Linked DNA regions of Diceros bicornis minor. The protein of the gene in region 1 purifies or fractionates together with the protein of each later gene. This does not show direct contact. Links are inferred from orthologs where the notes say so. Each region holds a gene or a part of one and is shown in the gene's direction. Other genes may lie near its edges.

Region 1 (3,750 bases):
TATCCTACAGATTTACTTGCATTGTGTAAAATGATGAATTTCCAAGTTTATTCACATAACTATGTAACAGCAAAGATCAGAACCATCTTTATGTCAAACAATATGGGCCAAGGATATTACATTATGCCTATCCTTACTGGTGTCTGGTCCTGTAGGAAGCTGTGAAGATGGGACTAGACTTCCACCAGGGCACAGATGTAGATGCATATTTGATACCCATCAGTTTAGGGGCAAAGGTCGAAATGAGAAAGAATCAGTTAACTAAGAAAGTGGTTCAGGACGTTCCTCCTCGAGGGCAAGGTCCAAATCTTTTTCATCTCTGTATGCCCAGGATCAAATATTAATAACAATTTGAGGAAACAATGTATATATAGGAAAGAGCTGGAGGAACCAGAGAGGGTGAGGCCAGGAAAGATGAAGAAGAGAGAGAGAAGGCCGAGATGATGTAGCGATATAGAAGCCAGAGAGGGAGTCTGAGACTCTGGGCAGGGCACAGCACAAGAACAGGACACTCCTGGGCGGGAACGACATTGCTGACCCCTCTAAATCAACCCGGGACTTGCCCTCCCACCGTCCTTCTTGTGCTGTAGGAAAACAAACCGTCAATTTCCTCATCGGAAAATGGAAGGGGTGGGATTTCATATCCGAGGTCCGCCCTCAAGGCCCGCAGCCCGGACAGCCAGCCTTCTCTGCCCCCTCCCGCGTCGGTCGCCTAGGAGACGAGCGTCACTTCCGGCAGAGCAGTCACCGCCTCTGCGGCCCCGCCCCTGCCCGCTGACGAGCGCTGATTGGCCCGTTTGAAATGCGCCGGGCGCGAGCTCACCTGGGCCCGCCGCGGCGTCGTCCGGCTTCCCCCAGCGCCGCGCCTGAGCCGCCGAGCCCCGCTTGCCGAAGCCCGTCCCTGCGGCCGGCCGTCCTCGCCAGTCCGCCCGATCGAGCCCGGCGTCCCGCGCGCGTCGGGGCAGCGCGGAGCCCGCCGCCATGAAGCCGGCGTGAGTACGGGGCCGCGCAGCAGGGGCCCCCAGTCCTCACGCCGCCGCCCGCCGCGCTCCGCGCCCTCCGCCCCCAGCCCCGCGCTGCCCGGGCCGCGGCCCCCAAACTGGGAGCCCGGGCGCCGAGACCCGTCCGTTCGCCGCCCGGAGCCGGCGCCCGCCGCCCCGCCCTGGCCTCCCGCGGCCGGGAGAGGTCGCCCCACGCCGGGGGGCGGGAGGAGGTTTGCGCCCCGACGCCGTCCCCGTAGCCGGGTTGCCGTCCGCCTCGCTCCGGGACCGCCGCCTCCCGCCCTTCGGTTCTTCTTCCCTCTTTGGCCGCCCGCGCTCCGGGGTGCATTTTGCCGAGTTAGTGCGGGTCGGAGGCGACGTGGGCGGGGGTCGTCTCGCGTGTGGCGCCGAGTGATGTGCCCCGGTGTGGGGGGTTGGGGCGGGGGTCTCAGTCCCCTGAGAGCCCTGGCGTCCTCGAGGCCGAGCCCATGCCCTTATATAGGCCAGTTACTCTTCTGTTCTTTGGCCGCAGACGGCCCCCGCCCCTACACGAGCGCACACGCCCACACTCCTCACCAAGTCGGTGACGTTTTAGGCGCCGCATAATTCCTTGACCGGCTACTGGGTAGAGAAATACTGTGCAAAGAAGGGGGTTGACTTTATAATTATCATCCTCATGTAGCTAGTCGTTTGCAAAAGGCAGCTTGTTTCCTTAAGTGGCCAAAGTAAAGATCTTTATCTTAAAAAAAATTTAAGTAAAGCTACCATAATACTTTGCACTTAAAACACTAATTTGCTTCTGTTTCATCTGGGAAAATACTGAGAAAATATTTTAATGATCTATAGTCCAAGCCAATAATTTCAATTAATTTTAGTGTTAAATGTTCATCTAGCCTATAGATAAATGTGGAGGGGAAAAAGTGGCATGCTAGAGAAATGGTGAAATAAGTCAAAATATCTTCTTTTGTCTCTAAGGGAGCAAGATATTGCAGTTTGAGGAGCACATTTTGTTTGGGGACAAAGGATGATAGTTTTGAGAATTCAATAACCAGTTGTTCCTTGAAAGTAGAGACATAAATCTTGATGAAAAGGTGGATTCCTCCATCTGCATTTTTATAATTTATTGAAGTTAATAGCTTGTCAGTCTGCCTTGGCAATGGCTGTTGGCGCAGTGTGTGTGCTTGTGTGCATATATAAATACCTTTCAAGATAAGTGTGGTCAGTTATCTGTAGATTTTTCAAATTGGTAGTGCCTCTGTAAAATTGTTGCTCAAGAAAATATACAAGCTATTTTTCCATAGAGAACTATTTTAAATATAGAACTATTCAAAGAGTAAGTAGGTACACTTAGTAGCGAAACGTCTCCTAAACCTATTTTAATTACTTTTGGATTATGCATGCCACAAACACTCTTCTACTGGAATTTATTCTTATTCATGTTATTTGGGATGTAGTGTTTTGGAATTGCTAAGGAGTAATTTTATAAACCCTAGGAAGGTTGTCTCTGTATGACTTATAGGTGAGGTTTTTGTATGTTCGTGTTGAACTGAAATGTTTTTTTATCTATGACCAGGAGGACTAAGACACCCAGGAAACCTCTAGTGAAGAAAGGATCCCAAACGAGTCTTAAAGACCCAGTTGGGGTAAGGTCTCCCTGTAAATTTACATGTGTGTATTCTTTCTTCAGTCCTTTTCTTTCTTATGTGTATGCTTGGAAGGGACGGAGATGTGGAAGTGGAGTCAAGGAACATTTAGTTAAATGGGTAAGGCTGGTTCCAGCTTTGAAATTTTGTTTCTATGTAGGATTCAATAGTCCAGTAAAATGAAGTCTTTGATTGTCGATTGCATACCTCCTATAACTAATTATGATTTAAAGTTAGATAATGAACAATATTCAACTATCCCAGAGAATTCTTCATCCTCTCTGGGATGGGGGAAACTTTCTGTTGGACGAGCATTCTCCTGTCTTTTGGATGGTTATATAGTAACTGAGGGCATGCTTCATAAAGAAAGCCCCAACTCCATGCTTTTTGGGATGAGTTTCATAAAGCCTCTGGTACAGAGCAGCATAATTTAGTCTAATGACTACTCCTAATTGCGTGTACTGCACTAGTTTCAGGCTTGGGAATTCGCTTTTAAAAGTAAATGGCAATCAAAGAAGGTGGGTTTGCCCTGGGGTATTTTAAATCCCCCTTCACTGGCACTAGAGTGTGTCTGTCCCTCTGAGTAGAGGGAACCAGATGCTTTGCACATACAGCTGAACAGTTTTTCCTCAACCCTATCTCTGATTAAGAAGACCAAATTTAAGATCTAGCACTTATTTGTATATTAAGTGTTAAGCTGGCAAGTGTTAATTGACATCCAATTCCAAAGAATTCTAACAGCTTTTCAAATAATTTTCGTTGTGTGATATGTTATTTTTAGAGAGATTTTTATATTAGTAGTAGTATAACTGTACTAAATTTGTGCCAATATTATAGTGAAGAGCTGTGTGATTTGATGCTTTTGTTATCCAAAATTATTTTAATTTTATGTGCATTTAAAATCTTCTCTCATATCTAATATATCTGTTTGCATTTGACAATTTCAGGTAGCAGGTTTTAGTTTTCAGAACTACGTTTATATAGATCTCTTAAATTGAGAGACCAAGTGTTTGTTGAGGGAATGAATGGGCAGCTTAAATGAACAGTCAGGTAAAAAGTCAACCTTTGTTCTCTAAGCGCCTGCTTGTATTTTCAGGTATACTGTAGGGTGCGCCCACTGAGCTTTC
Region 2 (3,750 bases), on another chromosome or scaffold:
TTAAAATAGAGCCAGAGCAGCCATTTCAGAGGAATCGTCTTGCCCATTTTGTTTTCTTTATCTTGCAAACCACTAACCATCCAAAGAAGTCAGTATGGAGAAGGGTATCTTGTTTGTAAGGACTGATGAAACTGGACTTGGCTGGTGACCCACAACTAACCAGTCAATGAAGTACAATTCTGGCCTTTTGTCTGAGGATGGAACCTCAGGCCAACCTATGAAGTACAAACCTAGCCTTACCTAACCCAGCACCAACGAACTCTTCTTTAATACAGCTCACCTCATCCTCCCTTTCCCTCATAAAAACCCTAAGCCCCTCTCCTGTAATTGGGACACTATTTGGGTTTCCACCTGAACCTGTGCTCCCCGAATTCAATTCTGTGATCCCAAAACAAACGCTCCACTGCCTCTCATTTTGGCTCTTTACTTCTAGGTTAAGAGCCCCATTTCCAGGCATGGCTTGTTAGTTCTTCGAAAATCACCTCAAATTACGTCCCAATTCAACTTTGTCAACCGCCTCCCTGTAAACAGAAACCCAAAACCCGGGGGCGAGAAGAACCTCTCGCCCGCCAGCGGACAGCGCGCAGGCGCAGGTCACGCGCTCGGCGGAGGCTGCAGGGGGCGGGGCCCGTGCGGATACGGGCTGTGCAAGCCTCCCTTTCATTGGCCCCAGAGCCTCGGCCCACTCTCCAATCAGAAGCGCCCGCATCATCACATCGCGAGGCTAGGAGGCCGCCCGCGGAAATTTGAAATGGCTGACGGGGTGCTGGCGGGTGTCTGGCTGGGGTCGGAGGCGATGGCGCCGTGTCCGGGGCCGGAGCCCAGTGGCTGGGGGGCCGAGGAGGAGCCGGCGCCCCTCGAGAAAGGTGAGCACCCGCCCTGCCGGCCGAGGAGCCGCCTCCCAGCGGCGGGCCGTGTCCGCGGCGGCCTGTGGCGTTGGGCCCCCCGAGGGCGCCCGGGTCTTAGGCCTTCCGGACCCGCGGGCGGGGTGACGATGGTGGCCGTGCGAGGCTCCGACCCACTCTCGGGACGTCAAAGTCGGGCGGTACCTTGGGCAACTGCCCCTTCTCCCTGGCAGTCTGGCCTCAGCTTCCCGAGACCGGGAGGAGTTGACCGGCCGGGAGTTCCCAGCCCGGATGTCTGGGTGGGCTTCCGGAGGCTCGGGGCGCCTGTCTCTGTGCGGGAGGGCTCACCTTTTCTATCCGCATCTCAGAGGAGGTCGTGAACCACACTCTGCTTTCTCGAAAGAAGCAACCTGAACCCTTGGCCTAGATAGCTGCACTGAGCACTGAGGGCAGGTGACATGCCCAAAGTTAGCGGAGCCAATTTGGGACAGAGTCTGAAAATAGAACCCAGGTCTAGTTCTCAGTCCTTTCTGCCTCTTTATGGAGATTCCATTATTTATTTATTTTTCCTGATATTTTAAGCTGGTTCAGGTTTTTAGTTTAACATTTTCAGTTGCATTGTGTACTGGAAAGTCCTGACAAAGTGAGAAAACATGGATGTGACTTAATTCCACTACTAACCCCTCTTATGAACTGGCAAAAGTCACGTGGCTTCAGTTTTCCCATCTGGAAAACAGAGCCAATGGTCCTACAGAGTGGTGTCAATGAAGTGAAATAATGTGTGAAAAGCAGTACTTTCAAAGTGGCTGTAAAGAATTGTGCTGACGTAAGGTATTCTTTCTTTTCCTCTTTTTTTATTGTTAAAATACACATAACATAAAATTTACCATCTTAATCATTTTTTAAGTGTATAGGTCAGTGGTATTAAATACTTTTACGTTGTTGTATAGCCATCACCAGAATCCAATCCCATAACTCTTTTCATCTTGCAAACTGAAACTCTATACCTGTTGAATGATAACTCCCCATTCCCCCTCCCGTCAGGCCTGGCAACCATGATCATACTTTCTGTCTATGATTTTGACTACTCTAAGTACCTCATATCAGTGGAATCATACAGTATTTGTCTTTCTGTGACTGGCTTATTTCACTCAGCATAATGTCCTCAAGGTTCATCCATGTTGTAGCATATTGCGGAATTTCCTTCCTTTTTAAGGTTGAATAATGTTCTATTGTATGGATATACCACATTTTGCTTATCCATTTATCCATTGATGGACACTTGGGTTGCTTCCCTGTTTTAGCTATTGTGAATAATGCTGCTATGAATGTGGGTGTACCAATATCTCTTGGAGACCCTGCTTTCAATTCTTTGGGGTGTATACCCAGAACTGGAGTTTCTGGGTCATATGGTGATTCTATTTTTAAGTTTTTGAGGAACCACCATTTTGTTTTCCACAGCAGCTGTACCATTTTGCATGCCTGTCAGCAGTGCACAAAGGTTTCTATTTCTCCACATCCTTGCCAACACTTGTTTTCTTGATAGCTTTTCTTGTTTTTTTGATAGTAGCCATCCTAATGGGTGTGAGGTGAAGGTATTAGTTCTTTAACAAACATTTACATATACTATGTGATGGGTACTGTTGTAAGTGATTAACAAGTAATTTATTTAATTCTCAATTTAATTGAAGTAGGCATACTATTTTACCTTCCCTTTATAGGAGAGGAAACTGATGCACAGAGAGGTTGTCTCACAGCTAGTAAGGTATTGATGTCCTCTGAGGCTCATGTGCGCTGGTGTTGGAGAGCAGTAGCCCCTTGAGTACACTTTGGTCATCTGTTGGGTCAAGTAATTCTGGTGGCTGAACAGGGGCAAAGAAGTCGAAGAAAGAGAAAATGTAGGGGGTGGAGGGAGAGAAAGACTGCTGCTAATAACAGTCTCAGATACGTTCCCTGAAACCACCTCTGGAAACTACTTTGCGAGTCTAAATGCTACCCTCAGCATTGTTTATTTAGTAGTCGTTTTGTTGATTAAAAACATCATATTACACAGAATTAGATATGCCACTGGCCAAATCAGGCCTTATGAAACATAATTACATACAGCCCAACCCGAATGTGATTAGCATTTTCTAATCTTTTCCTTAGGTACAGTCATTGAAATTAGTGAGGAGGAACCTAGTAGCTTTAGTGAAGTAAACCTTATGCACTATTAAGAATCTCTCATCCCTGTTTATTGAGGGACCATTGACAGACTGATGTTGTAGAAAATAAAAGGAGACTTCAACTCGTTTGAGAGGGAGTGTAGGAAACCAGCTCTTTACTTTAATGCAGCTTTATGGAATTGTTTTGGGAAAAAAAAGACTAAGATATTTGACTGTTACACGTTGCTAGCCATAGTAAGAATCATAGCTGTATCCTTTGAAGGAGAACTTGGGTGATTTCCACTGAAATAAAAAACAACCCTCTTGCTCTGCCTCCCTGAAAAACTTCACAGAACAACAACAAAAACCTAACCTGTGAAAGATTTTAAGTTCATATTATTTTGAAGTAGAACTTGGATTTTGAGATATTTTTAAGTTTGGAAAACTGGTTTCTTCTGACAACGATAGAGGTAAGGAAAGCATCATACCAAATCCTTGTTTATGTTTTGCTTGGAGTTTCTAAGCAAGGATATGAAAACAGTAGCAGTGTATAAGCACTGGATGTGTCTGGGATAGTTGAGCCTACTTATTTTTGTTGTTCTCTTAGGTTTCTTCCAAGATGAAGATTCATACAGTGATTGTAGCAATCATGATAAGCCAGGTACCGGTTTACAAAGCTTTGTGCCAGAAGGAAAAACTCATTTCCCAGAAATGTTCCAAACAAGTCATCTTTTGTTCTATGAGCGATTTAGAGCCTATCA

What was found. Proteins that work in one complex are often made in the same cells at the same time.
Region 2: the proteins of KIF23 (region 1) and SHCBP1 purify together in Homo sapiens (affinity purification with western blotting; 9 studies listed by BioGRID and IntAct, with this or other methods). This does not show direct contact. The link is inferred for Diceros bicornis minor from reciprocal best matches to the Homo sapiens genes KIF23 and SHCBP1.

Annotation. Positions count from the first base shown.
Region 1 is NC_080744.1:63,211,814-63,215,563, forward strand, and holds the start of KIF23 (kinesin-like protein KIF23), read left to right. Parts: upstream 1-868; 5' UTR 869-981; coding exon 982-992; intron 993-2,553; coding exon 2,554-2,623; intron 2,624-3,719; coding exon 3,720-3,750.
Region 2 is NC_080771.1:562,314-566,063, reverse strand, and holds the start of SHCBP1 (SHC SH2 domain-binding protein 1), read left to right. Parts: upstream 1-736; 5' UTR 737-751; coding exon 752-866; intron 867-3,596; coding exon 3,597-3,750. UniProt on the Homo sapiens protein: May play a role in signaling pathways governing cellular proliferation, cell growth and differentiation. May be a component of a novel signaling pathway downstream of Shc. Acts as a positive regulator of FGF signaling in neural progenitor cells.